4 linked regions of the Cricetulus griseus genome follow. The protein of the gene in region 1 interacts with the protein of each later gene in a biochemical or structural test. Links are inferred from orthologs where the notes say so. Each region holds a gene or a part of one and is shown in the gene's direction. Other genes may lie near its edges.

Region 1 (6,942 bases):
GTGTATGTGTGTGTATGTATGTATGTATGTGAGTGTGTGTGTGTATGTGTGTATGTATGTGGGGGTATGTGTATGTATGTATGTATGTATGTATGTATGTATGTATGTATGTGAGTGTGTGTGTGTGTGTATGTGTGTATGTATGTGGGGTGTATGTGTGTATGTATGTATGTGAGTGTGTGTGTGTGTCTGCATGCATGTGGTTCTTATATTTACTAGGTCTGTGGCCAGATAGGAATGCCTCCTCCAGTGTTCTCAGTGTTCTCCCGTGAGTTTTGCTTCTCTAGATTTGGAGACCTCCATCTCAACCGTCAGTCAGTGTCTTCTGACCCAGCAGACTAGGGAAGGGTCAGGAGTGGCCTCCTGAAGCTGACGAGGTCTGACACTGGCCAGCCCACCATGCTGGACTGTGGTCTTCAGCAGAGTTGAGTAGCTACATGTGGCCATTGCTCAAAGGTCCACAGACTAAGTCGGGTCTGGGTGGATGTCCATGGAGGACCACACTCCCCAGACCTGGACAGGGCCCTGTTCTCTGAGAGCCCCAGCATTGACTCAGAACGAGGAACAGGAAGTCAGTGTGACTTGTTGGCTGAATCAACAGGTGGTTTGGTGCTCTACTCCCCACTGGTATCCAGCTGTGGGCTTACTAATACCATCTTAGTGCCAGTAATAGTCTGGAGTCTTCTCTAGGAGCTCACAGGCTTCACAGAAGGGTGTGCCTTGATGCACCTGGTAAGGACAGAGATGTTAGGAGTGCTGCTGTCCCTGCAGCTGTGATCCAGTGGTTGACAGATGCCATTTGGAGAATCAGTTTAAGATTAAAATTCTTATTTCAAACTCCAAATGCATTTTAAAGTGGGTTAGATTTTAATTTACTAGTTTCAAATGTAATTCTATTTTGATGAATAGAATTTTGACTTTAGATTTTGTTATTTATTCTCAAGAGTGTGCGCACACACGTGTGTGTTGGGAGTTCACACAAAAATCTAGGCCATGATGCTGGAGAAAAGGCTCGGGGGCTAAGCGCACTTGCTGCTCTTCCAGGAGACTGGGGGTCCCAGCACCCCATTCTAGCAGCTACACTGGTTCACAGCAGCCTGTAACTCCAGCTCCAGGGATCCAACACTCTCTTCTGGCCTCTGAGTGCATGTGCTAGATCCACACACAGACAAATAAACATACACATAAAAGTGACTAAAAACAAAAAACACCAAACCAAAAAACCCACAGCCTTGCTATTTTGGCCTCATGGTGGCTTAAGTGTGGCCTTTTGGGTTTTATAGGTGGCACCTGAGGAAGATGAAAGGAAAAGGAGACGGCGGGAAAGAAATAAGATTGCAGCTGCGAAGTGTCGAAACAAGAAGAAAGAGAAGACGGAGTGCCTACAGAAAGTGAGTGCTGGCCGAGCTTCCCCTACTCAGCGCCCACTCCTGACCTCATCAGCCTTGTGCCACTGGCAGAGGGGAGTTGTGGGTGGTGTAGAAATGCCAGCTGTAGGCAGAGGGAGGAGGGGACTCTGATATATAGAATAAAGATTTGTAGATTTAAAAACTTCAGTATTGCCAGGTGTTGGTGGCACACGCCTTTAGTCCCAGCACTCGGGAGGCAGAGGCAGGCCTGGTCTACAGAGTTCCAGGACAACCTCCAAAGCAATACAGAGAAACCCTGTCTCAAAAAACAAAAACAGCAAACAAACAAAAAAACCTTCATGTATCCAGGGGCTAGCAAGCTTGCCGTGCAAGCCTGGCAACCTGGGTTCGATGCCCAGAACCCACTGTGGGAGGAGAGGACGGATCTCCAAGAATTGTCCTCTGACCTCCACATGCATGATGTGGCACAAACTGGTCCATACACCGCCATGAGTTTCTAGGCTTTCAGGCTAAAAAGACTTTATTCACACCAGTTTTACAAATAAAACAACAAACCCCTGCTAACTGCCACTGACTCTCAAGAAAAGCTTTTATTCCTCTCCAGCTTGCTCTGTTAACCCGGAAGTACTTACACTGTGCTCCTGCCTGGGTTTGAACCCTGCGTCTCTTCTTCCTGCCTATCCAGCACTTTGAGAGCACGCTATCAGGCTGTCACCCCACAAAAACAAAACAAAACAAAACAAAACACACAGAGCCTGGAAGTCTTTGCAGGGGCCGTGTCTGCTCCCCCAAGTCTGTGCAGGCCAGCTTCTGGCAGAGACACAAGCTGGCCTCAGTAGTCCTGGGATCTCTGCTTGTTGCTTTAGGGTCAGTGAAAAACCTGAGAGTCTTGGTGAGATCAGAAATTCAGAGAAAACGCTACACCACCAGTTTGAAATTCTCCTCAGCTCCCCAGACCCTGTGGGGCTCAGATGCCCTTGGCAGTGGACTGGAGCAGCCTTCCCTGAGCCCTTGGTGCTACAGCAGCTTCAGTAAGCATGGCAGCCTGGCTCAGTGGTATCCCCAAACTTCTCACATGTCCCCTAATTTCAGAGACCTCTGCAGGGTCCACACCACCCCTGACCTAGTTCTGACCTCCTATCTTTTGTGGTGCATGGTTCCCCCAGCACACCTCTCCCAGCTCAATGAGCCCCAAGATTTCCAGGTGGTCTCGCATACCTCCCCAACCCTGGCTCCCCCCATAATGCCTCTATCTTTTGATTGTCCCTCAGGAGTCAGAGAAGCTAGAGAGTGTGAACGCTGAGCTGAAGGCCCAAATAGAGGAGTTGAAGAATGAGAAACAGCACTTGATATACATGCTCAACCTGCACCGACCCACGTGTATCGTGCGGGCTCAGAATGGGCGGACTCCGGAAGATGAGAGGAACCTCTTTATCCAGCAAATAAAAGAAGGAACATTGCAGAGCTAAGCGGCAGGGGCATGGGGGCAACTGGGGAGTCCTTATTGAATCCTCCTTTTCCACCCCAAACCCTGAAGCCGTTGGAAAGCTGGCTTCCTGTGCACTTCTAGCATCTCAGCAGCCGAGAGCCGTTGGGGCAGGGGGGCCTGCGGCGACCACTGCGTTGTCCCACTCTGCCCTGGAGTGAACTGTGGCGCAGGGCAAGAGCGTCCCTTGTCTCACTAACTCCAGGATTTAGGCCTTACCATCCTGACCATTCTCAGATGATCTAGCTGGTCCCCGGCTGGGGTCCCATGCAAAGCAGGACACCCACTAATGGGATTCACGCAGAAGTGTCCGCCTCGGTAGGTGGGGTGGGACCAGGGCCGCCACTGCAGCTGACACCATCCCTTCTAGGGAATACGGAGCAAGAACACTCGTTGTCGAGGTTGTCCAATGGCCAGGGTGTGCTTCTAGAAAATAAGCTGTTTCATCCCAGATGGCTGTGCACAGGGCATTCACTTCAGAACCAGGTGTTGTGTTGTGCTATTTGGATGTTTGTCTTGCACGACACTGTAATGATTTTTCTGGGAGTTTCATCAGAACTGATTTCTGAGAGTTTGGGAGTCTGCCATCATGGATAGTATCCCTTAAAAGCATTCGGGTGGACATGTGAGCTTGCCTGCCCCCCAGGAACGAAATGGGCCTGCTGGCCAGCTGTGTCGCTCTGTGCTGTCAGAGGACGCCTCCTTTCCCTGTACCCACTGCTGAGGAAGAACCTGGGCATGACAGCAGCTCCTTGGCTGCAAACCGTTGCAATCTCACAGAAAGAAGGCACAAAGGAAGTCCAGCTTCCAAAGGGTAGGACTCTCCTTCCCACTCAGTGACAGAGCAGGTGTGATTTCTAGGCTAGAAGGGCCAGAGATACTCCATTATCCCTTCGTCACAGCCAGAAACCACAGCCTGTGGAGAAGTGTGTTTGAAGTCGTGTGCAGGGCCAGGTGTCTGCGTTGTGGGATGTTAATGGCATTGTTTTTGTTATTGAGATATGGCCCAGAGCTTTTCAGTTGGGAGGCACCTCCCTCTGGCCACCAGGACTCTGGCTACTGTTAAAATTCTGACGTTTCTGTGAAATCCTCAGAGTGTTTAATCTTACTCAATAGTATCATTACAATTTTCTGTGAGAGAAAATATTACTTATTTATCCCAGTATTCCTAGACTGTCGACATAATAAATATCAAAATAAGACATGGTAAACGTACGTGTCATGCTGGTTTCTACTAAGTCTTCTGTTGAAATAATGACTCTGCCTCTCTGTTATGGGGTGATTAGCATGAGTATTTGGGGACAGATTTCCTTTGTTCACAGGAAGAACACTAGGTAGGGTGGTTGGGGTATGGGTATGTTTTATGTCTATGGGTGTTTTGTCTGCATGTGTGTCTGCGCTCCACATTCATGCAGTGCCTGAGGAGGCCAGGAGAGGGTGTTGCAGAGGGTTGTGAGCCGCCATGTAGGTGCTGGGAATAGAACCCAGATCCTTTCCAAGAACACTGAATGCTGTTAACTGCTGATCCGTCTCTCCACTTCAGTTTATTTTTAAGTGTGTGTATGCATGTATGCTGTGTGGGAGAGGTGTGTGCATTCGTGCATTTGCCTGTAGAGACCTAGCCCAGGTGGGTGACTTCTGACCCTTGCCTCAGTCTGCTGCTTGATGCTCAGTTTCTCCTCAACAAACCCTGAAACACTACATGTGCCCTTCACACCAACTGTTTGGCACTAATATGGTTTGTTGTTTTTTGAGAGCCTCACTATGTGGCCCAAGGTAGCCTGGAACTTACTATGCAGCCCTATGTGGCCTGGAAGAGCCTCCCTTCCTCTCCAGGTTCCTCTGCCTCTTGTGTTGTCCTGGGATCTGTCCCAACACCTGCTTCAGAGTAAAGGTTTGAAAGGTTCTGGCTCAGGACCTGACCTGAGTCATCCTTAAACATTCTGTGAAGAGGCAAGCTTTCCACACTGAGGGTTCGTTTGTCCTCCTGGGTGGTTGTGACTCTAAACTCCAGAAGCCTCTGGTCTCATAAAGCATTGCTCTTAGGGTCAAGCTAGGTGGTACCTGCCTGGTGGGTCTCTGGTCAAGGCTAGCATAGTCTACACAGTGAGGTCCAGGCCAGCCAGGGCTACATGGTGAGATCTTGTCTCGAAACTTTCGAAGAAATTCACCCTGAGCTGCAAAGCATGGGTGAACATGGATGATAATCACAGCTAGTATTCACTGACTAGGACAACGGGCTAGACGTTTCCTGCATCATGCCATGTGTTAGCTACCTGTCTGTCACTATAACAGAATTCCTGAGGAGAAACAAATGGAGAAACGTGGGCTGGTGAGATGGCTCAGTGAGTGAAGGCTCTTGCTGCCAAGTCTGATGACCTGAGTCCAGTCCCACACGATGGGGAGACTGAACTCCTACAAGTTATCCTCTGACCACATGTTACTATGGTGTGCACATGCCCCCAACCCACCCGCCCCAACCACACACACCACACACACACACACACACACACACACACACACACACACTGAATATAATAAAGCATTTTTTAAAGAGAAAAACAGCTTAGTGGTTCAAGTTCTTGCCACACGATTGTAAAGACCTGTGTTCAGAACCCACGTAAAAGCCAGGTGGACATGGTGGCTTGCTGGTAATTCTACATTGAAAAGACAGAGACGGGCCATCCCCAGAGCAGGCAGACTAGCCAGAGCAGCCGTGTCTCCAGATCTGGGTGCATCTGAGAAAACCAACCTTGGGCTGCCACACGTGCATTTACCACTCACACATGCACGAAACACTGAGAAAAAAAGTGCTTGGGTCCACGGTTTAGAAGTGTGAGTCCATGACTGATTCATCTTTTTCCTTGGGTCTGTGTGGATGCAGCAAACCCAGGTAGGAAGTGTATGGTGGACCAAAATCACCTCATGACCAGAAGGGTCTGTCATCTCCCTTAAGGCACATCGTCCATGGCACAGGACCTCCTATAGGGCCCCACCCCCCGACAGCTCAGGGACTCCTCGTGCCTTTAGCACAGGGGCTTTGGAGACATTCCCAGTCCTCAAAAGCACTGCTCTGCTCCACATGTGAGGAAGTAGGGAAAGCCAAAACTGCTCAAAGTCCCCCAATTTACCTAAGACTGAAGGCTACACTTTCTAAAACCACCAAGGTTTCAAGCAAGAGTTCTAAGGGTGTATGTGTTATGTATATAAATGGAAAAACACAAATCATAATATTCAGCATCCAAATGCGTTGAGTTCATGTGTAGCCACCACTGACTGACATCCATGGAGCAGTCACTCCCCAGGTCCCACCCTCAGCACTTGGCAAACTACTCAACTGTTCATTTCTTCAGGCTAGCCTGTCCTGTGGCCTTGTGTCAAGCTTCTTTCACGTAGCAAAGTACCAAGGTCCACCCATGCTGAGGTACGAATCAACATTCCATTCCTGTTCACGGCTGAGTTACAGTGTATTGTACGAGGATCTGTATTTTGCTCATCCATTTATCAGTTAATAGCCAGGTGTGTGTGCTTTCACAGAGCGGTAGATAACCTTTGCCCTTAAGGGATGAATGTCTGGAGTAAGGGTCCAAGTGACAACAGTTTGGAAATCCTGAGTCTGGCTAGCTAGGTAGGTGTGGCAATAGCCCGAGTCATGGTGACCGATGTAAACAGATTTCCAATGCTCTCCCCAACAGCAGGGCTGTTAGAATGTGTGTGTGGGGGGGGGTAGGGAGGGGCTTGGATGCTCTCTTGGAATTCAAGGACTTCTGTTTCCTACCCTTCACCCCTACACTGTGCATCTCACTGAGCATACTGTAGAGAAGTGGATCCGTAAGAGATTAAATGGTCCCCCACAAAAACAAAACGGAAGGGGAAACCACTGGGTAATTTACCCCTACCTCAGCCTACCCGCTGTCTAAAAGAGTGGTCCTCCAGCGCGCACACACACACACACACACACACACACACACACACACACACACACACACACAGACAGAGAGACAGAGAGACAGAGAGACAGAGAGAGACCATACAACGTCCCATGATGCAGTAAAAATAAATCAGTTTGAAAACATTTGACTGGCC
Region 2 (7,234 bases), on another chromosome or scaffold:
GCAGTCAGGGCCGCACAGGGAGCCCCGTCTCAGAAAACAAGGAGGAAACATTCAACCATTACTATTCTTCAGTCTCCACTAGCCACAAAACGCTCTCCGAGGTTGGTAAGAAAACAGGATCACAGAAAGGCCCCCAACCAGCCGGGCGGTGGTGGCGCTCGCCTTTAATCCCAGCACTCAGGAGGCAGAGGCAGGCGGGTCTCTGTGAGTTTGAGGCCAGCCTGGTCTCCAGAGTGAGTTCCAGGACAGGCTCCAAAGCCACAGAGAAACCCTGTCTCGGAAAAACAAAACAAAAGAGAGAGCGAGAGAGAGGGAGGGAGAGGAGAGAGAGAGGAGGAAGAGAGGAGAGAGGGGGGGAGAGGGGAGAGAGAGAGGGAGAAAGAGAAAAGGTCCCCAAGCAGCTCAAGCCTGCGCTGCCTCCAGAGGGGCCAGCCCATCCCCCACCTGCCGAGGCCAAGGCCCAAGGTCAGGGCGGAGCCTCCCGTCCCCAGCTCCGCACCGGCCCCGGGGAGAGGCGGGACTGGCGCTCCGGGCCGCTGGCTGCTAGCCAGCGCTGGCTGGCTCAGCCCTCTCGGGGGCCCAGGCTGGGATCTGGCCCGCGAAGCGCAAACCCCACGTGTGAGGAAAAGGAGTCCTGTGCCGGGAGGAGTCCACCATTCGTTCAGGATGAATCTTTAGCTCCAAAAGGGAATGAAACCTGGGTGTGGGGCTCCCTGAGGCCACAACTGTGAAAGTCTAGGGCGTGGGGGTGGCACCAGATGGAGGCAATGGCCCTGAGGCGCGAAGGAGCTGGGCCCTGCCACCTGGTGCTTCCAGTGGGTGACAGGTCAGACGGGGGTCATGGTGAGGGGTGGCAGGCTGAGGGGAGCTGCTGTCTGCTCCCCACTCCCAGCCAGCCCGGCCCATCAGTCCTGGAGGGCATAATGTACTAATTAAGGGGGATAATTGCCAGCCTGGATTTTTGTTTCTCCAGCTCCACCTTGGGACCCACCCCTGGCCCTGGCAGAGTCAGAGCTAAGAGTGTGTAGCACCACCGCTGTCCAGAGGCTCCATTCGGGAGTACTCGGGCTGAGCCAGGCTTTGTGGGGCATACCCGTTCCCACTCAGAGTAGAGGCAGGAGATCCTGGCTCAAAACAAACTCAAAAAACACAAATACCCCCAAACTTTCATGACACGGTAAGGTGGCCGGCCGGGTTGTCACTCTAGTACTTGATAAACCGAGGAAGAGGGATGGCCACTAGTTCGAGGCCAGCCTGGGTTACACCCCAGCCCTTGCCAGGCCCCTGTCTCTGTAAATTTCATGCCAGACAGAGCTGTAAAGTGAGACCATCTCTCAAAACACAAAACAGCAAATTCAAGACCAAGCACTCATGCTGGGATGAGGTGACTGGGCCTGTCATTCCAGCAGCTACTGAGCAGAGGCAGAGGCTTGCCTTGAGTTCTGGGTCAGCTAAGGTACAGACAGTCAAAATAAGACACATATCTGAAACACAGCCCATCATCATCCAGGACCCAGGAGGCTAAGGTAGGATTGTTGGATGTTCAAGGAGATAAGTCTGGCCTACAGAGTGAGATCCTGTCTCAAAACATCCCAAAACAGGCCATGGGTGTGGCTCAGTGGGCAAAGGAACCTTCCCAGAACCCTGAGCAGGACCCCAAGAATCACAGGGAGGAAGAGAATCTACTCCCACAAGCTGTCCTCTGGCCTCCACAGGTGGGCGAGCAGGCGCGCGCGCGCACACACACACACACACACACACACACACACACACACACACACACACACACACAAGAGTAAAACTTCAGGCAGAGGTAAGGTGGCTCAGACTTGTTATTAAAACACTTGGGAAGGTGAGGCACGGAGACTGAGGTTACAGGATGAAACCATGTCTTAAAACAACTCAAAATAAAGATTTAGCCGGGCGGTGGTGGCGCATGCCTTTAAACCCAGCACTCGGGAGGCAGAGGCAGGCGGGTCTCTGTGAGTTCGAGGCCAGCCTGGTCTACAGAGCGAGTGCCAGGGCAGCCTCCAAAACCACAGAGAAACCCTGTCTCAAAAAAAACAAAAAACAAAAAACAACTCAAAAGATTTAAACAAGGTTTTTTTTTTTCCCACGGAGATTAAAAAAAAGCCACAAAACCTGGCGACTGCCTAGAGCCCTGGCCACATAGCCCACCCTCAGCTTCCCCTCTGAAAGACAGGAAGTCAGGTTTCAGGCCTCTGAACCCCACTCTGTGAACCGACAGGACTCAAGGCACTTTAAGCAATTTCTGGGGACTCTGCAAGGGAGCCCCTCTGCCTCCCCCATCCCGCCCCGCGCCTGCCAGCCCCAGCCCCAGCCCGGGAAAAGACGCCCAGGTTGCTGCCCAGCCCCCTCCATGAGGGCGTGGTTCCTTTGGGGTGTGCTGTGGGCGTGTCTGCACAGAGGGCGTGGTTTCCTGGGGCCCGGCCCATCACGCCACAGGAGAAGGGGAGAGACACTGAGAGGAGAGCTATAAAGACACAGGCAGAGAGAGAAGGGGAGAGAGGAAGGGCATGACTGGGAAGAAGAGGGAGACAGATGGAGGGAGGGAGAGAGGAGAAACGCGCGGAACGGGGAAGGAGGGAGGGAGGGAGGGAGGACAGAGAGAGCGCTGCACTCCAAGCTGGGCGTGGCGACCCGGCCAGGCCGCGTTCAGCCCCACCTCCATGACGTCAACCCACAATGCTGCGCGCTGTTGTGCCTTGTAGCGAGCGTCGCCCCTGGCAACAGCGGCCGAGGCAGCCAGGGAGCGAGGGCGTCCCGGCCCGCCCCTTTATGCAAATCTACGACGTCACCTCGGGCCAATGGCGATCGGGGGCGGTGAGCTCATCGTGGGGGCCGAGGCTATAAGGGTGCGCGCGAGCGTCGCGGGGCAGAGTGGCCGGCAGCGTAGCCGGGCAGCACGGGCAGCGGACTGGGGGGCGCACGGGGCCCCCCGGGGAGGCCGCGGCCACTCCCCCCGCCCCGGGGCCCAGCGCGGCGGGGGAGGCGGGGATGGAAACGCCCTTCTACGGCGAGGAGGCGCTGAGCGGCCTGTCTGCGGGTGCGTCGAACGTCGCCGGTACTGCTGGGGCCCCCGGCGGTGGTGGCTTCGCGCCCCCGGGCCGCGCGTTCCCCGGGGCGCCCCCGACGAGCAGCATGCTGAAGAAAGACGCGCTGACGCTCAGCCTGGCGGAGCAGGGAGCGGCAGGATTGAAGCCCGGGTCGGCCACTGCACCTTCCGCGCTGCGCCCCGACGGCGCTCCCGACGGACTGCTGGCGTCGCCGGACCTTGGGCTGCTAAAGCTCGCGTCGCCAGAGCTCGAGAGGCTGATCATCCAATCCAACGGGCTGGTAACCACCACTCCGACCAGCACGCAGTTCCTCTACCCTAAGGTGGCGGCCAGCGAGGAGCAGGAGTTCGCCGAGGGCTTCGTCAAGGCGCTGGAGGACCTACACAAGCAGAGCCAGCTGGGCGCGGCCACCGCGGCCACATCTGGGGCCCCCGCGCCCCCCGCGCCCGGGGACCTGGCAGCCACTCCCGGAGCCAGCGAGACCCCCGTCTACGCCAACCTGAGCAGCTTCGCGGGTGGCGCCGGGCCCCCTGGGGGCGCGGCCACCGTGGCCTTCACCGCGGAGCCAGTGCCCTTCCCGCCGCCCCCGGGCGCGCTCGGGCCGCCGCCACCTCCGCATCCACCGCGCCTGGCCGCGCTCAAGGACGAGCCGCAGACCGTGCCGGACGTCCCGAGCTTCGGCGACAGCCCTCCGCTGTCGCCCATCGACATGGACACGCAGGAACGCATCAAGGCGGAGCGCAAGAGGCTGCGCAACCGCATCGCCGCCTCCAAGTGCCGCAAGCGCAAGCTGGAGCGTATCTCGCGCCTGGAGGAGAAAGTCAAGACCCTCAAAAGCCAAAACACCGAGCTGGCATCCACCGCCAGCCTGCTGCGCGAGCAGGTGGCGCAGCTCAAACAGAAAGTCCTCAGCCACGTCAACAGCGGCTGCCAGCTGCTGCCCCAGCACCAGGTCCCCGCGTACTGAGCCTGACTTCGGGGCGCATGCGCGGACTCGCTGCGGTGGTGGGCGCCCCGGACTCCTCCGAGGCTCGGCGCCCCCGGACTCGACAAGCTGGACCCCCCCCTTCACTCCGGGTGGGGACCCCGAGCGCACGGCCCCCGCCCTCGCGCCACCTCTGTTTCCCCAGCCCCGCGCGTGTTGCACAAGCCCGCGGCCCGGCAGCCCCTTTGTGCCGCCGAGAAGGGGCTCCTAGGGGCGCGCAGCCTCACGCTCTGCCTTTTTCTTTTTCCTTTTTGCCTTTTGGAAGAGAGAACGGGAGTGTCCGATTCCGCCCTATTTATGTTTCTACTCGGGAACAAACGTTGGTTGCGTGTTGCGTGTGTGTTTCCTTGTGTTGGTTTTTTAGAGAAACGGGAAGAAGAAAAAGCTCCTCCCCCTTCCCCTCCGCTCTCCCTCCCTCTCGACACTATCCCTCTCTTCTTGTTTGGTTTTGTTTTGCTACGAGTCCACATTCCTGGTTCCGTAATCCTTGGTTCGCCCGTTTTGTGTTTTCAGTAAAGTCTTCGTTACGCCAGCTTGGCTGTCCGCCTCCTTCTTCCCCCGCCGGGGCCGGTGGTGGGCGGGGCCTGGCCTTCTCCCATCCCCCCCCTCCTCCAGCCCCTCTCCACCCACCCCCACTCCCAGGCGAGGCGTGGGCGCCGGCCGGGACTGCACGTCTGCGCGGCGAGCGCCACCTAGGTGCAGGCTGTCGGCTCTGGTCCAGGTGGCACCCGGACTGGGCTTCTGGGCTAGCCTATGTAACTTAGCTGGTACATCCTTTTGGGAAGAGGGTGAAGAAATGGAAAAGAGGGAGGAAGGAGCGCATGCCTTCTTGGGGTCTTGGTTCTCCCGATCTTCAGCCTCCATCGGGGTGTCTGGGAGGCTGGTGACATCCTTACAGAGAGTTGCTGCTTGCAGTCGGCCCTCAGTAGGAGCTTTTGTCTTTGTTGGTTTCACGGGTACCTCAGGCCCAGAGCATTTGGTCCAAGACCAGCAGCCTAGAGTCATGGAGGTGCATTTAAACATCCCCCTCCTGACACGCCCCTTCTCCCAGCGCATGTTCTCCCATTTGAGGAAACTTCAGCGATGTTGAGCACTTGGCTTGAGTCACACGGCACCTTTTTTTTTTGAGACAGTCATTCTATATAGTCTTGGCTGTCCTGGCATTTGATATATAGACCAAACAGGCCTGGAACTGACGAGAGATTCTCCTGCCTCTGCCTCCTGAATGCCAGCATTCCCTGTGAATCTTTATTTGCAAAGCTGGAGATGAAGCACCTCGGACCTAGGGCACATTAGGCACTGTCTTCTCCAACTCAGTCCCAGCCTCTGTCTTGGAGAGGGGCACTGCCTATCAGGGACATTGACCCTGGGGCTCCAACTGCCCAGGTGTGCACTTTCCTGTCAGGCTGTTGAGACCCTGTGTCTTAGGTTCTGATCCCCTCGGTATCAGCATGGGTGCTAAAGTTACATGGTAAGATCTGGGGTGGGGGGTCTGTGTCTGAAGGCTGCTCTTCAAGCCACTGTGTACCTGCCCCCTTGGCTACAGAAGAGAAGGGCTTTCCTGCTCTTCTCCCTGCTCCAAGCCTCCTGTCAATCCTGAGCAGAACTGTTTTGTAAGACCAGCTTGGTGATGCTGGCCTGTCATCCAGCATTCTCCAGGATGAGGCAGGGAGCTCTTCAGTCCTGTATAGCTTGGGCTGTAGAATGAGACCCTGTCTAGAAAAACAAAGGCCAGTGATAAGCAGCCTGATCTGAGAGTTCCTGAGTGTTTATGTAGTGGGGGATGGAACCCAGGGCTTTGTCCATCCTGAGCTCCAGACACTGAGTGCCAGCTTGGGTAGCATAGCATAGCATAGCTTTGTAATAGTCACACACTCTTGCTTTATGGACCTCTATCTTGTATGCTGTGAAATGGGAGTGTCCTGGTCTAGGTTCTGCCTTCCCCATCCCTTTCAGAATTGACCGAGATTAGTGTGCCCCCTATCTCACACACAGCATACACAACACAGTAAGAATCTGAGCTCTCCCTTGGCCTTTGGAGTGCTGGCATGCATCATGCCCAAGTTGGCTCTGTTTCCCTGCTTTTGTAGTGCTGGATGGAGTTTCAGTCTTTACAAAGATTTGTCCTGTTGTTTGAGACAAGGTATCACTCTATAGATAAGGCTGGGCTGGAACTCATGACCCTGCCTCTGCCTCCTGAGTACTGGGATTAAAGGTGTGACCCACCACCGAAGCAGATGCAGTTTGTTGATATTGGGAGTATCTTTCCTGGTCAGCTAATCTGATGCAGGCTAAAGAGGAACATGACTCCCAGGACAGCCAGGGCTACACAGGGAAGCCCTATCTCAACACACTGAGGCCTGGGTACCTGGGCTCAGGGTTCTGTTCCCCAGCACTGAGGCTGGTTCTACAATTCAAGTACATAGCTCTCTCTGAGCCTCAGTTTCCCCATCTGTCCCACAGGCTAAGGCTGTCATGCCCAGGCTTCCAAGGAGACATAATGGGCTCACCAGAAACAATAGAACAGAATAGTTAACAGTCAGAGGGAGGCAGGGTAAGCCACAGGGTCTGCTCCTTGCATAGAGGCTGAACAGCTCTGTAGTCCTTGCTCTGACAGCCCCTTGGCAAAGCTAAGTGGTTCTGGCTTAGGCCTGCTGTGCACAGGCCAAGGTGTGTGTCAGCCTTGGCCTGTGCAGCTGTGACTCACATTGGGTGCTAGCCCAGACTGGGGCGGTGGCCCAGAGTCTTGACCTCACTCCACTTACCCCCTCCCAGAGCCATGGCTCACAGTCCATGCCCACTTTTGGGGGGTTATGTTTGGTTTTTGTTTTTTTGTTTGTTTGTTTCTACACAGGGTCTCCCTATGTAGCCCAAGGCTGGTCTGGAACTATGTTTGTAGACTGCTGTCCTGAAAGTCACTGGCATCCTCCCGGGTGCTGGGTGGCTGCTTCCCATGTGTCTTTTTATCCCCCACACCCACAGAGATGTCTTTAGAATACCTTGTGGGCCCAGCAGATGGAGGGGGGCTCTTCCAAGAGAGGCTGGGGGTCACCTCTATGCTGAGCCCTAAGTTTTGGCATAGGTTGTAGACATCAGGAGAGCTCAGAGCCTCCCGTGCTGTCAGGGGTTTCTATGTTCTAGAACCTTCCCCACACTCTGCTGGGGATTGGTT
Region 3 (7,603 bases), on another chromosome or scaffold:
AATCCCAATAAAATAAAATAAGGAAGGGCCTAGAGAAGTCAACCTTGAAGCAAGGATCTGTTTAGGGGGTAAGAACCTATTGTTAAAACTCTCAAGATACACAGAGCATGATGGTGAGCACTGTGATCTCAGCGTTTGGGAATTAGAGGCAAGAGGGTGGCCTTTAAGGCCAGCCTGGGCTGTAACAAGACCCTGTCTCAAACCAACCAAAACAACCCCTCAATATACTCTAAGATGTTCATTAAACTCTGGAGAGGAAAAGAAAGGTACAACTTCTAAGTCTAACATACTCTAAAGCAAGAGGAAAGAGATGAGTAGAACATGAGGCCGAAGAGTAAGAAAGCAAAGAAACAGGGCAAACCACTGGAATGGGACCAGAAAAAGAACAGTTGCTGTGGCTACTGAAACATAGTATATCTTGTATCTGACAAGAAACTACACTTGTGTGGGAATTACAATCAACCTGCATTACAAAAGACCATTGGACTTAAACAATGGATCCCTTATATATATATATATATTTAAAGTCCAGGCCTTCATTAAGTCTTTGGAAGACTGAAGGCAGACCCAGGGTCACAGAAACGGACCATATAAGCAGAACCAGGCCCTATTTGCAGGAGTGGATGGAGAGGAATCCTGAAAACACTCAGGGGCTAGCATCTACCCTGACCTCAGTTCCATTCCTTCCCAAGTGGAGCAAAGCCTCTGTCTCTGTCCCATCATATATGCTGAATGGGATCCAGGGGTGGGGCGTGGGGGTGGGGCAGGGTAACTAGCTCTCTATACACTGTCTCTCAAAGCCTGGATGTGAACTTATGCTGTAACTGAAGGGGAATTGGGGTTGATTCCCTTGAAGAAGGAAAGAAGGCAGGAAGGACCCCTTTCAGACCCTCAGTCTCAGGTATGGCCCTGTGACTGACTTTGGCCAGTGGCATATGAGAAAGAAAGGTGCCACTTCCAGGTGGATACACTGAGAGCCAGTCAGAGCTTTGCTGAGTTCCCACTTCAGTCACAACCAGTGAGAAGCAGGACAGTGGACAGAGTTCCCTGCTCAGTCACAATGGGCAAGCAGTGGGAGGGAGCAAGAAACAATAACACACTGACTGAGCCTCTGGGATGATGGGTTTAGGGTAGCATAGCCCAGCCCTTCCCAACTGAGCTTCCAGTGAGATGAGACTAGAGAGCATTGGCTGAAAAACCCCTTCTCCCAGGCAAAGAGGAAGTTCACTGCGGCTGGCAAGCAGAGGCATTGACAAGAGTACATCCTTTTCGCCTTGAATGAAATGTACTATTTCTTAACCTAAGTAGAAAATTAGCCTCCTAAGCAACAGGAGGCAGACTAAGCCTGGGAGTTTCTAAATACAGAAACAAGAGAGCAACTTCTATGGCATCAGCACCACTTCCCAAGCAGATAACCAAGGCTGTGAGGGAAAGTTTGCCAGAGTGGAGAAAATACAAAGGAATGTAACACAGATTTAAGGTCACTTTCCAGCCGTCCGTGTAGCCCAAACAAGATACATGTACTTTCTGGAATTATTTCCTCCTGTGTAAAGTCGAGGTAAAAATGTATGCCTCTCAAGATGGTTGTGGGGAAAAAACAGCATACTTAAACTGCTTGGACTAACTGGTAGATAGTGGGTGTTTAATGGATAAAACTTATTTTTATTACTGTTGTCATAAATCATGGAGAATATGAGCTCCTTGACAAAAACGATTAGGGGAACTCGTTCTCTCTTTGGGAGAAGTAAATGGATCTGGACTTCACAGAAACCTTGCCCTACCCTGCCCCCACAAAGGTCAGTGCTTGGCTGGCAGCAACCAGTTAGTTACCCTCTGCAGCCTGAGTGAAAGCAAAGTGAGCACACGGAGTGAAAAAGAGCTGGCCAGTTTCCCACCGATACCAGCTGCTATTGGGTTCTGAATTCTCAAGGCAAAATATCTTAGGGCTCCAGGATACAAACCCTGGGCTGAGTTCTGAGGCAGCAAAATCCGAATTAGAACCTCCGGACTTAAGGTCCAACTCCAAACCTCAAGTCCTGGGCTGTAAGGAGGCTTGGGGAAGAGCTGGCTAACAGCCCTTTGCTACCTTGCTCACCAGTTCCTGCCAAATCACAGCCCTGTAGCCTGGTACGGCGGGAAGGCCCAGGGGGAATGCCGAGGCCGGCAGGGAAGGGGACAGTGAGTTGACCAGCTTCTAGTACCGGCATCAAGGAAGGTAATACTAACGCCTGGCAGCCCGGTACGGTGGACCTCATCCGCTCTACTTGCAGATGAGGCCAATAAAGCTCAGAGAAGTTCCGAGATTGCAGTTAGGCCATGAGAGAACCGAGCTTGCCACCTCTTTAGTCCTAAGTGGTGGAGAATGGAGGTCGGATAGCAGAACCCTAGGACAAAAACCACTTACATGTGTCTAGCGCTTCCTAGAGGCCACACAGGATATGAATCCACCAGCGGGCGGGGAGGGGAGACTTTAGCCTGCTTCTACCAGGGACTCCCGCTTAGGCAGCGTGACTTTCGGGCGAGTCGGCGGCGGCTCTCAAGACTTGTTTTCCCAGAAGCAAATCAGGAGCTGGGGGGTGGGGGGTAGGGCGGGCGCGGGTTGCGTATGCGCGAGACGCGCCCGGGCAAAGGCGATCGCTGGGGTTTCCTGAGTTTTGAACCCTTAAATGTTGATTTTGACCCCCATGGATGCTGGGGTCGCCCCTTTATTTCACGTCTAGAAAGCGCGTCCCTCTGAGGCAAAGCGAGCCCCTCCCCGCATGTCTCCAGAGGGTGAAGTGTTGTGCCGAGGACCCTGACGAGTCGGTTCTTAGTACCGCAAATCTCTAGCTTCCAGGTAGAGCACACAGCGGCACAGATCCTCCTCTGGAACTTAACCAAGAGATAAACTTCCACGCGTGCTCAACGTGGGAGGGACACTCAAGCCCGTTCAACTTCAACACACTTTCTCGCTCCCGCACCCGGGGCGCACACAACCATCTTCACCCGCGCCGCTGCCTCCCGGAAGTGTGGGGGTGCAGAGCCTGCTGGAGCTCAGGTCGCTCAGCCCCTTCACGTGTGTGCGTGTGTGTGCGTGTGTGTGTGTGCTTGTGTGTGCGTGCGTGCGCGCGCGCCACCTCCACTCCCCACCCAGGCCTTCCGCCCGGGGCCACTAGCGAGCCTCCCCAGCTTTCTGGATGCCGGTGTCTCGATCCCCGTCCCCAACCCTGAACTTGAGCCCGCCTCCGACAGACGCCGCAAGGGTCCAGCCGACCCGGCAGCCTCCGTCACTAGACAGCCAAACCAAGACGTCAGCCCACAATGCACCGGGCGGGCCGGGAAAGACGCGCCGGGGAGGGAACCCGGGAACACAAGCCTGAGCGCCGCGCGGGAGGGGGAGGGAGGAGGAGAAAGAAGGGCCCAACTGTAGGAGCGCAGCGGAGCATTACCTCATCCCGTGAGCCTTCGCGGGCCCAGAGAAGAATCTTCTGGGGTGAGGTCTCCATGGCGACAGGCGGGCCCGCCCCCCTGAGAGCGACGCAGGCCAATGGGAAGGCCTTGGGGTGACATCATGGGCTATTTTTAGGGGTTGACTGGTAGCAGATAAGTGTTGAGCTCAGGCTGGATAAGAAGGACTCAGAGTTGCACTGAGTGTGGCAGAGACGTCCTGGCAGGAACGCGCTCAGACAGAGAGGCAGAGAGAGAGAGCGGGACGGACGGAAGGAAGGACGGACGTTCTCGGCCAATCTGGACGGCCGCGGACTCCGGGCTGCTCATCTGTTTGTCTTCATTTTCTCACCGACTACCTGGACCCAGCGCCCGCGGCTCCAGCACCGGTGTTTTGGGGAGCACTTGGAGAGTCCCTTCTCCCGCCTTCCCCGGAGAAGCAGCTCGCAAGTCCCTGCGCTGCTGACAGCATCGAGAGCGGTGCCTGCCCGAGCGAGGAAATAGGCGAGCGGCTACGCCGACCACCAACTTTCCTGACCCAGAAGACCGGGAACAAGTGGCCCGGAGCGAACTTTTGCAAACCTTTTCAGCGCCTTAGGCTGCCCCCGAGACCGTAAAGAAAGGGGAGAAGAGGAAGAACCCACACTCAGCCCCGCTCGCACAGGCGGCTGAAGTTGGGCGAGCGCTAGCCGCGGCCGCCGAGCGTCCCCCTCCCCCTCACAGCGGAGGAGGGGACAGTTGTCGGAGTCCGGGCGGCGGAGCCCGATCGCGGGCTTCCACCGACAGTTCCGTGACGACTGGTCAGCGCCGCCGGAGAGCTGCTGTCGCTGGAGCTGGTCTGCGGTCTCCGAGGAACTGCTACTACCCGAGAGCGCTCCGCGAGTGACCGCGACTTTTCAAAGCCCGGCAGCGCGCGGGAGCCGACCAACGTGAGTGAAGGCGGTACCTTAACCCTGCGCTCCCTGGAGCGAGCTGGGGAGGAGGGCGCAGGGGGGGAGCACTGCCGACCGGAGCGCGCGCTCTTAGACAAACTTTACTTGTCACAGACGCAGGGACGCGCGGGTGTCCCCCGCTTCCCAGCGCGCTGTTGCGGCCCCGAAACTTCAGCGCGCAGCCCAGACGAACCCCGCGTGAACTGACCGACCGTTCTATGACTGCAAAGATGGAAACGACCTTCTACGACGATGCCCTCAACGCCTCGTTCCTCCAGTCCGAGAGCGGCGCCTACGGCTACAGTAACCCCAAGATCCTGAAACAGAGCATGACCTTGAACCTGGCCGACCCGGTGGGCAACCTGAAGCCGCATCTCCGCGCCAAGAACTCGGACCTCCTCACGTCGCCCGACGTTGGGTTGCTCAAGCTGGCGTCGCCCGAGCTGGAGCGCCTGATCATCCAGTCCAGCAATGGGCACATCACCACCACGCCGACCCCCACCCAGTTCTTGTGCCCCAAGAACGTGACCGACGAGCAGGAGGGTTTCGCCGAGGGCTTCGTGCGCGCCCTGGCCGAACTGCATAGCCAGAACACGCTGCCCAGCGTCACGTCGGCGGCACAGCCGGTCAGCGGTGCGGGCATGGTGGCTCCCGCGGTGGCTTCGGTAGCCGGCGCCAGCGGCGGCGGCGGCTACAGCGCCAGCCTACACAGCGAGCCTCCGGTCTACGCCAACCTCAGCAACTTCAACCCGGGTGCGCTGAGCAGCGGCGGCGGGGCGCCCTCCTACGGCGCGGCCGGGCTGGCCTTTCCGTCGCAGCCCCAGCAGCAGCAGCAGCCGCCTCAGCCGCCGCACCACTTGCCCCAACAGATCCCGGTGCAGCACCCGCGGCTGCAGGCCCTGAAGGAAGAGCCCCAGACCGTGCCCGAGATGCCGGGAGAGACCCCGCCCCTGTCCCCCATCGACATGGAGTCTCAGGAGCGGATCAAGGCGGAGAGGAAGCGCATGAGGAACCGCATCGCCGCCTCCAAGTGCCGGAAAAGGAAGCTGGAGAGGATCGCCCGGCTAGAGGAAAAAGTGAAAACCTTGAAAGCGCAAAACTCGGAGCTGGCGTCCACGGCCAACATGCTCAGGGAACAGGTGGCACAGCTTAAACAGAAAGTCATGAACCACGTTAACAGTGGGTGCCAACTCATGCTAACGCAGCAGTTGCAAACGTTTTGAGGACAGAGTGTCAGGGCTGAGGGGCAATGGAAGAAAAAAAATATAACAAAGACAGACTTGAGAACTTGACTGGTTGCGAAAGAAAAAAAAAAGTGCCCGAGTACCGAAGCCAAGGGTACACGAGATGGACTGGGTTGCGTCCTGACGGCGCCCCCAGTGTGCTGGAGTGGGAAGGACGTGGCGCGCCTTGCCTTGGCATGGAGCCAGAGAGCGGCGGCCTGTTGGCTGCTAGGCTTTGCGATCGGGCTGTGCCCGCGAGACCAGAACGATGGACTTTTCGTTAACATTGACCAAGAACTGCATGGACCTAACATTCGATCTCATTCAGTATTAAAGGGGGGCGGGGAGGGGTTACAAACTGCAATAGAGACTGTAGATTGCTTCTGTAGTGCTCCTTAAGAACACAAAGCAGGGAGGGCTAGGGAGGGGAGGGAGGCTCGTGAGTGCCAGGCTAGACTGCAGATGAACTCCCCTGGCCTGCCTTCCTCAACTGTGTATGTACATATATATTTTTTTTAATTTGATGAAAGCTGATTACTGTCAATAAACAGCTTCCTGCCTTTGTAAGTTATTCCATGTTTGTTTGTTTGGGTGTCCTGCCCAGTGTTGTTTGTAAATAAGAGATTTGAAGCATTCTGAGTTTACCATTTGTAATAAAGTATATAATTTTTTTATGTTTTGTTTCTGAAAATTTCCAGAAAGGATATTTAAGAAAATACAATAAACTATTGAAAAGTAGCCCCCAACCTCTTTGCTGCATTATCCATAGATAATAGTAGCTAGATGGAATAACAGCTGAATGTCAAATTCGCTAGAGTAAAAGCTGTGTTCTCTGTTTGATTGTAGGAATAGATGCCCTGCATGCTATCATAGGGTCATACTCTCTCCCGCAGCAACTCACAAGTCCAGACTGTTGACCAGAAGATGCTATGGTGTTTCTAGAGGCTGGAAAACAGGGATGTTGCAAAGGGAGAGAGAAAGCAGGCACTTCAGTTTAGAGCTATATCAAGTGGCATGTGCTGTGCTCGTTTATAATCATAGAGATTTAGCAATAGATGCTTCTTCTCAAAGCAGAAACCCATGCAAGTTTTTACAGAAGATGTCTCCTTCCAACTTGGAATCTGACAATTCCTAGAGAAAGATGGCCTTTGCTTGTGCATATTTATAACAGCGTTCTTGTCACAATAAATATTCAAATAATGGTTTCAAAAAATCTTGAATTCCTTTCCCTTTGGTACTCTTATTCCTAAACTATATACTGAAGGTTTTCTAAGTTTCTGGGGTTAACATTACTGTATTCTAAACTTAGTAATTTAGAAGCAAAGACTTTAGGAAGAGTCAAACTAAATTGAAGCCTGGGTGATCTTTTCTTCCAACCCTCCCTCCTTCCCTTTTCCCTTTTGCTCCCACTCCCACCCCTCATCTCTCCCCAGTACCAAGGAAGTGACCCATGAAGTGAGTCCATGTTTATTTCTTAGTTTGTTTCAAAATAATCTGTCTGGCTTAAATAATTATAGAGCCAGTCTAGGAAGATGCTATAATAAATGCTATGGGGGCAAATTCACAAGAGAAGTGTGGGCCCAACACTGATTACATCTGTAATGGGCCCAATGCATCCATAATCTAAACCTCAGCTCTGGGGAGACTGAAAACTTGGGTTGTGTCTACAGATACAATAGGTTATCAACAAGTTTGTATTTAACAAGGGAATAGTTTTTGCCTGGTTCCTTTTCTTCCTGTGAGCTGCTGAGATTATCAAGCAGCAAAAGCAATTTGATACCCAGAAACACTTCACCAACCACTAATTGAAGCCTGGCTGTTTGCTCATTAGCAGTGCTCCAGTATTCAACAGGTTCAGGAGTGCCTGTGGTGGTAAATCCAAATACAGTTTCTCAGGAGTACATCTAGGTCTGCAGGGGCTTGGACGGGCTCCATACTTTTTAAACAAAGACTTACTGGGAGCCAAGGCACTTTTGTCAAACAGTAAATTTGCTGGTGTCAGCAACCCGGAAGGTGAGTTGA
Region 4 (7,727 bases), on another chromosome or scaffold:
TGCCTGGCAGGGTGGTACCAGCGGACACCCCCCTCCTTCCGTGACCACTCCGTCAGACAATCTCAGATCTAATTCATTTGGAGCTCTAGAGAGGCTGGAACCAAAGCCCTGCCTTCCTCCAGGATCCCGAGAAGCTCCTGGTCCTCCCTCAAGCCGAAGAAAAGGGGATCCATAATCAACCTCTGGCTTCCAATGAGCAACAAGAAGTATTCTCTGACACGCAGGGACGACCCTCAGACCTGCAAGCGTCCTCACCAACCTCACCATCGCTCCCATCGCACACTGACGGCTTCCAAACTTTCCCTCTCATAACAAGGCGCCCTGTCACCCAGACTGCTTCCTTCAGCTTGGGGAGGAGGGGAAGGCAGGCGCACGAAGTAGGAAGGAACTTGGGGAGAGGGCGGGTGGAGGGTGGGCGAAGCACCGGAGGGAGGGAGGTCAGGAAGGCACAAGTCAGGCACCGAGAGGGAGAAACGGCGGGGGCAGGTGAGGGTGGGGGGCCGTGGATGGGGCCGAGGGAAGGGGCCGGGAGGACGGGCGGACGCGGAGGGGGCAGAGGGTAGGGACAGAAGGGAGGAGAGAGCGGGAGGGGAGGGGGGGGCCGGGCCCCGCACTCACCGCGCCCATCGTTCGGCTGCCCCCCGCGCAGTCGCGGCCGAGGGTGAGTGGGGGGGGTGGAGGGTCGGGAGCCCCGAGCTCCGGTACGGCCCCGGCCGGTCTTAGCAGAAGCCGCGCCGCCGCCGCCGCGCGCCGCCGCCGCGGATCACCGAGCGGCCTCCCGCGCATGCGCCATAGGGCCAGGGGCAGCCCTGGGGATTCCGTTCCCCAGAAGGCACGCGCAGGCTGCTACCGCCCGCCGCCGCCGCCGCCCGTCGTCGCCGCCCCCCACCCGCCGCACCGCCGCTGCCGCCGCTGCCGGACGGGAGGGGCGGGGCCGGGCCCCCGCCCAGCGGACAGCAGCGAGCCAACAGGAGGGACGCAGTGCGCATGCGGGGAGCGCGCCTACCCCTCCCCACAACCCCCCATTAATCCCCAGAGAACAAACACCCCACGCGGCCGCCGCCCCCCCCCCGCCCTCCGCGGAAGGATCTGGGCCTCTTCCCAGGCCACTGGTGGCCAATCCCGGTCCTCCCTGGGGAGGGGCCCCTTCCGAAGCCACAATCTGTTGGGGGAGCCAGGAATGTCAGGTCCGGGAGGGGCCAACCCTAAAAGATGAAAGTCGCGACTTGCCCTGCCCCGCCCCAGAGGCTTCCCGGGTAGTGTGCCGAGACTTGACCCGCCTCTCCAGGTCAACATGTCACAACACGACCTCTGCCTGTCAAGTCACATGACCCCTGCCTGTCACTGACAACCTGGTCCGTCTCGAGGCCAGGAGAGACCATCTGGTTCAACCCACCCCCACCCCGGCCAACAGAAGGGGAGACGAGGGTCTGCAGCAAAGGAGCAGTCTGGCTGGCCAAGGACCTGTCACTGTCGCACCTTCCAATAGCAACCGGTCCTGGTGCAGTTTCTGCTCAGAGAAACTCTGGCTTGCCTCTCTTGAGTGCATGACAGACTGTGTGTGCTAGGCCACCACATGGCCTCTGTTTTCATGGCACAAAAAAATACGTTTCGCAAGGTGTTTTTTACTTTAGTTCAAGTTGCCCCCCTCACAGTGGTCTTTCCTTCCAAATCTCGTTCTTTCATTTACAAATTAAGGTAGAATCTGTGTTCCCTCCGGTAACGCAGTCCAGGGCAGGCATACGCTCAACTGCATGCACGTCCCAGTCCTTACTGTAGGTCATGACCCCAGACTCCTACAGGCCCGCTGCTCAGCAGGGAGTCACAGGACTTGCGGTCAGGGAGAAGAGAAAGGGTGGGCGCCGAGCAGGGGTGCGATAAGTAGGGGGTGGGACTCGGGTGCACGCTACAAAGAACAGGAATTCTGGCGTGCAGTGGGCGACTCAGAAACAAACGCCAAAGGTGCTCCCCCGAGACAAGCGGGTGGACTACCATGGAAATGCCAGGACCTCAGCCTCTGGGAAGCGTTAGGAGGTTAAAAGAGATGAGATCCCTTCTAAAGGGCTGGAGAAGATGTCAGTCCAGGTAGGACTAATGGAAACTTTATCGCGGTTCCAGGGCCTCGGCGCGCATGAGCTGGGAGGGGCCGGGAAGCTGGGAGTCTGGATGGAGGAGCAAGTTGGAGGTGATGGGAGGTGGGTGGGCAGAGCCGCAGCTCCTGGGCAGACAAGTTCAGGAAGGACAGCCGTTGGGGCCGTTGGATACTGGGAGCTGGCGCTCCGCCCTCTTCCCTCTCACCCCCCCACCCGCGCCTCCCACCACCGTCGGCGGCCCCTGCGCGTGCGCGCGCGCAGACACCGGTTGCCAAACATTGCATCATCCCCGCCCCCCGTCATCCCTCCCTCGCCGCACTCTCCTTCGCCCGCCCGCGCGCGCGCGCGCGCGCGCGCGTGCATGACTCACTCACCTCCTCCGCGGAGCCTCGTGACCCAAAGCCACTTCCGGGTCCGAGACAACGTAGCTCTCCAACCAGAGGGCGGGGCGGAGGCGGGGCCGAGGGGGCTCCTGAGTGGCGGATGTGAGGGGTGGGGCGGAGTCAGTGCCAGCGTGCCGCTTTCTGATTGGCAGGCTCCTGGGTCCCGCCCCCAAAAGAGGGGACGGGCCCGCATAAAATATCTTCTCTCGGCGCTGCAGAGGTCAGTAGCCTGAGTCTCACACTTCGGTCATATCATGTTGAAGATGAACGGGTGGCAGCGACAGAGCCAAAATAAAAGCCGGGACCTGAGGAGCGAGGCGAGTACCGACGCCGTCTACCCCTTCTTTCCCCATTCTCGCCAGCATGGCTAGTCCATAAAGTTGGGGGCGACTGCTCTGGAGGATGTAGCCCCACCCCTTCCAAAGTGGCCCTGTAGTCGGAGGGAGGGATGGAGGCGGGAGTCCCTGACCCTGGAGTGGCGCTCACATGACCCCTCTTCCTACGGGCGATTGCATCACCGTTCCCCTGCCTAGTTAGACTGTGCCGTTAGGCAGAGGGACTCTGGTTGTCCCCGGGAGATCCATCCTCCTCCTCTGTACGGCGAACTGCGGGCCATCCTAGGCCTGTCCGGTGAAAGGCGGGGCAGCAGGACACACCCCCATATAAAGGACTCTGGCTTTTCCCCCTCTTATCCAACAGCTTCGTTATCCCCGGCTCTCCCAAGCTCCTCGGGGGCCAGCATGGCCACCTTAGTCGCTGACCCTAAAGTTCAAGAGAATCGTAAGACTGACAGACCTTTGCTAGCGGGGTGCTGGTGGGAGGAGCACAGATGGGTTTTCCCCTTTTCCCCGGAGGCTTCTGTACAAGAGAGCAGCCTGGATCTGTAACCGTGGGACATTATTTGGGCTCTCTCCAGGGTCTTGTGCTGCTCCTAGGATTGAGTTCTGTCTCTTTCCCCAGTCCACTCCTCACTAATCTCTGTAACCATTGCGTCAGGCCGGCCCACTGTTTATCTCTGCGCCCTCTGGCCTGGGGCTCCACTGCTGATGAAAGCCAGGCCCCACACACTGGAAAACCGAGGGAGTTTCCCCCAGAGGACAGCCCTGCAGAGAAACACTCAGGGCAATATTGCATCTCCAGTCCCCAGAGATAGGCAGCACCGGCTCTGCCTCTGGGCTTAGCCCTCCATTCTCTGTAGGGGAAATTGGGGGAGTGGCTTTTTCCCTATTCATTCCTAACAAATGCTTAATAAACATCAACTATGTGCCAAGCATTTGAGAACCCAGAGTATATGAGGAGCAAAAGATAAAACTGATCTCAATTCGGCCTGGGCCTGTATTTCTGCAGAAAGCAAGAGCTGACAAATAAGAGTGCTCAGGATTGTGGGTGTTAGGAATTGCCTCACTGGGGTTTTTAGTGAAAGATCCAGAGAAGGCAAGCCTGTGAGCCATGCAGATAGAGTAAACGAGCTTTCCAGAAGGAACTGTGGGAGCAGAAGGGTTAAGATAAAGCATGTCTGGTAAAATAGGGCAGTGGCTGGATGGGAGTGAATATGAGAGAGGGTGGGGTAAACAGGAAGCCACTGGAGGGATCTGGGTAGAGGAATGAAATAAGGCCCAGTGTCATGGCATATGTATTTGATTCCAACACTCAGGCAGGGGCAGGCAAATCTCTGAGTTCAGGAGCCAGGACTACATAGTGAGACCTTGACTCAAATGAATACAAAAATAAAAGGATGGGAATGTAGCTCAATGGTAGACTGCTTGCCTAGCTTATAGAGGACCTATGGTCAACCCCCAACTATGAAACTAAACTAATAAAAGACAGGAATAGAAATGGTAGATCTTGATAGAGCATGGTGACATACACCTTAATCCCAGCACTCAGGAAGCAGAGGTAATAAAATCTGTGTGTATTTGAGGCCAATTTGGTCTACATAATGAGTTCCAGGACTGCCATGGCTACATCGTGAGACTCTGTCTAGAAAAAAAGAAATGGGAGATTTCTTGAATGAGTCTTCCACAGTAATCTTCGGGAAGTGAGGTAAATTGATTTCCATTTGGAAATAATGGGAACAGAAATACTTAGGCTTGCTGGATGGCAGTAACCCACACCTTTAATCCCAGCACTTGGAAGGCAGAGGCAGGTGGATCTCTGTGAGTTCAAGACCAGCCTGGTCTATAGAGCAAGTTCTAGGACCTTGTCTTGAAAAAAAAAGAAAGAAAATACTCAGGCTTTAGGTACTTAAAAAGAATGTATTAAAGCTGCCTGTGCTGCTTTATACTGAGTTGTGGGGATGTGAGAGGAGGAAGCAAGGATACCTTTTTTTTTTTTTTTTTTTTTTTTTTGATTTAAGCAAGTAGAGTTGCCACTTAGAATAATACAACCTAGGAAAGGAAAGGCCAGCAGGAGATTGTTGTAAATGCCTGATAGACATTCAAAAGGTGATATAGCAAGTAGACAACAGAGTTGGAGGTCCCAGGACAGGTCTAGACCAGAAGCGGCCAATATGATATTGGAGTATATGTAGCAAGTGCCACCCACATATTTTTCTCTTCCCTGTAGTGCAGCCCTCACTCTGGCAGATTTGAGGTCTATCTGGAATTTAGAGAAAGCTTAGTTGGCTAGGATGTTGCTATTATGTAATCAGGACAAATGTCAGTAACTAAAAATAAAATCAAGCTTGCCTCTGTCCTTGGAATTGGCGCACGTGTGTGTGTGTGTGTGTGTGTGTGTGTGTGTGTGTGTGTGTGTGTGTGTGTATGTGAGAGAGAGAGAGAGAGAGAGAGAGAGAGAGAGAGAGAGAGAGAGAGAGAGAGAGAATCAGCCTGGTCTACAGAACTAGTTTTAGGATAGCCAGAGTTACACAGAGAAACTCTGTGAAGGGGCGAGAGGGGAATAGAGAAGGACCAAAGGATAAAAGGCTAGAGGTAAAGACCCTGTTTCTTTCCCTTCAGACAGTAAACATGTATCTCTGTTCTCCACAGTGTTCCAGAAGGAAGAGTATCTTCATACATCACCATACCTGAAAGCAGGTAAACTTCACCAACCCCTTCTCAAAGTTAACTCCCAATGCTGCTTAGGGTCACTTTGCTGGGACAGTAGTTAGAGAGAATTTGATTTCAACAAGCTTTTGCTGTCAGACTGTGTCTTTCTCTGACACCATAACATTATTTTTAGAGCACTTCCCAAATGAAAGCTGGCTCTCACAGCCAGCCTCAACAGTGGCAATTGGCTTGTCTTTCCGATTCAGTCCACACCAAGGTTAGACAAACCCCAAGGACCTTTTGCCCAAGCTTCCCACACAAGAGAAAGGAACACAAATGGCTTGGTAATTGCTCCTGGAATTCACCAGCAGTGTTCCCAAGTGAGTTGAATACTTTTACTATAATCCCGTAAGAATATATATGCATAGCCAAGCATAATGGCTCATTCCTATAATCTAAGAACTTGAGAGGCAGAGGCAGGAGGTTCATAAAGTTGAAGGCCAGCCTGAGCTATCTATAGTAAGATCCTATCTCAATAAAATGTATGTTCTTGGAAGCTGGAGAGTTGGCTCGGTGGTTAAGAGTACTGACTACTCTTTTAGAGGACCCAGGTTCAATTCCCAGCACCCACATGGCAGCTTAAAACTATTTATGACTCTAGTTCCCAGGGAACCCATCCCCTCTTCTGGCCTCCCTGTGTACCAGGAATACACACAGCACAGACATACATGCAGGCACTCACACATACAAATACACAATAAAATAAATGCATCTTTGAAGAAAGAATGTATGTTTAGGCTGGACTAGTGGTATAGTTCAGTATTTGTGGATGAGGCAGTAGGTTTGATTGATCCCCAAGATCACACACAATGTATTTTGTGTTTTCTTCAGTTCTGGTAATGTGGTATATTAGCATATATACAAGGCTGTGGTTCAATTCCTAGCACAACAAATAATGATAAAACAAAAATGGAAGTAGAGGCTAGAGAGAAAACTCATGAGTGAAGCACACTTGCTTTTCCAGTGGACCTGAACTGGGTTTCCAGTATCCACATGAGGTGGCTCACAACTGCTGAACTCCACCCAGCTCCAGGAGACCCCGGAGTGCCTCTGGCCCCACTGACACTGCACTCATGTGAGCATATGCATATACATAAAACAGGTTTCTTGTGGAGACAAAGTTGTAGAAAGATTACTATGTAATATTTTATTTATACTTACTGATTTTAGGGGTGTTTTATTAGTTTGGTTTTCCTTTCCCTGTGTAGCCCTGGCTATACGACCTCACTATGTAGACCAGGCTGACCTCAAACTCAGCGATCCTGCTGCCTCTGCCTCCCGAGTGCTGGGATTAAACACCCCTGCCTGGCAGTTCCAGTTTTGGGGGGCGGGAGGGGGGGTTGTTGTTGTTTTTAATTACATTTGTTTTGTGCTGTGGGGTGCTAGCCATGGTGTGCATGTGAAGGTCTGGACTGTTTCTGGGAGTCAGTTCTTTTTCCTACTAGGTGACTCTGGTGGACTCAAGCCCCCATTGCTAGGCTTGGTTGGCGGCAGGCACTTGTAGTTACTCAGCTGTTTCCCATCCCTACATTCATTTACTATGCTGCCTGTGTGCAATGGTGTGTATGTGGAGGTCAGAGAACACCTTGTGGGAGTTCGTTTTCCACCCACACCCATCACCTGCCAATGTGGCTTCCAAGGATTGACAGCCCATGCCCCTACCTGACCCACAAGTCTAGTAAATTTTAAATCCAGAGTTTTAAAACAGGCATGAGATTGGTTCGCCAACCATGACGAATAGAAAACCTTTACCCTGTATGTTCTTTTCCAGAACCCAGTCCAACTACAGACATGGCAGCTGAGTCCCTGCCTTTTGCCTTGGAGACGGTGTCCAGCTGGGAGCTGGAAGCCTGGTATGAGGATCTGCAGGAGGTGCTGTCCTCAGATGAAAATGGGGGTCCCTATATCTCATCCCTTGGAAATGAAGAGGTGAGTGAGAGTGCTAGTCTTAAAATGGGCAAGGAGGCTCAGTTCACGGCCAGCCTTAGCTTATGAATTTGAGTCTAGCCTGTTTCAAGCACAAGCAAAAATAAACCCCACAAAACTGGGGAGTATGTTCACCTCTCCACAACTAATATCCATTGCCCTTTCTCCACTTCCTTAAAGGGGGAGTCAAAAACCTTCACTACCCTAGACTCCGCATCCCTAGCTTGGCTGACTGAGGAGCCAGGGCCAGCAGAGGTCACAAGCAGCTCCCAGAGCCC

Evidence for each region.
Region 2: the proteins of Atf3 (region 1) and transcription factor jun-D form a complex in vitro, tested with the Homo sapiens proteins (2 studies listed by BioGRID and IntAct, with this or other methods). The link is inferred for Cricetulus griseus from reciprocal best matches to the Homo sapiens genes ATF3 and JUND.
Region 3: the proteins of Atf3 (region 1) and transcription factor AP-1 form a complex in vitro, tested with the Homo sapiens proteins (2 studies listed by BioGRID and IntAct, with this or other methods). The link is inferred for Cricetulus griseus from reciprocal best matches to the Homo sapiens genes ATF3 and JUN.
Region 4: the proteins of Atf3 (region 1) and Ddit3 form a complex in vitro, tested with the Homo sapiens proteins (2 studies listed by BioGRID and IntAct, with this or other methods). The link is inferred for Cricetulus griseus from reciprocal best matches to the Homo sapiens genes ATF3 and DDIT3.

The regions. Positions count from the first base shown.
Region 1 is NC_048598.1:3,858,818-3,865,759, forward strand, and holds the end of Atf3 (cyclic AMP-dependent transcription factor ATF-3), read left to right. Parts: intron 1-1,283; coding exon 1,284-1,391; intron 1,392-2,641; coding exon 2,642-2,839; 3' UTR 2,840-4,067; downstream 4,068-6,942.
Region 2 is NW_023276806.1:248,303,859-248,311,092, reverse strand, and holds transcription factor jun-D, read left to right. Parts: upstream 1-2,687; 5' UTR 2,688-3,018; coding exon 3,019-4,044; 3' UTR 4,045-4,594; downstream 4,595-7,234. UniProt on the Homo sapiens protein: Transcription factor binding AP-1 sites.
Region 3 is NC_048595.1:53,808,930-53,816,532, forward strand, and holds transcription factor AP-1, read left to right. Parts: upstream 1-3,486; 5' UTR 3,487-4,355; intron 4,356-4,472; 5' UTR 4,473-4,576; coding exon 4,577-5,581; 3' UTR 5,582-6,319; downstream 6,320-7,603. UniProt on the Homo sapiens protein: Transcription factor that recognizes and binds to the AP-1 consensus motif 5'-TGA[GC]TCA-3'.
Region 4 is NW_023276806.1:130,432,254-130,439,980, reverse strand, and holds the start of Ddit3 (DNA damage-inducible transcript 3 protein), read left to right. Parts: upstream 1-3,001; 5' UTR 3,002-3,216; coding exon 3,217-3,256; intron 3,257-5,463; coding exon 5,464-5,511; intron 5,512-6,487; exon of another isoform or gene 6,488-6,598; intron 6,599-7,294; coding exon 7,295-7,452; intron 7,453-7,629; coding exon 7,630-7,727. UniProt on the Homo sapiens protein: Multifunctional transcription factor in endoplasmic reticulum (ER) stress response. Plays an essential role in the response to a wide variety of cell stresses and induces cell cycle arrest and apoptosis in response to ER stress.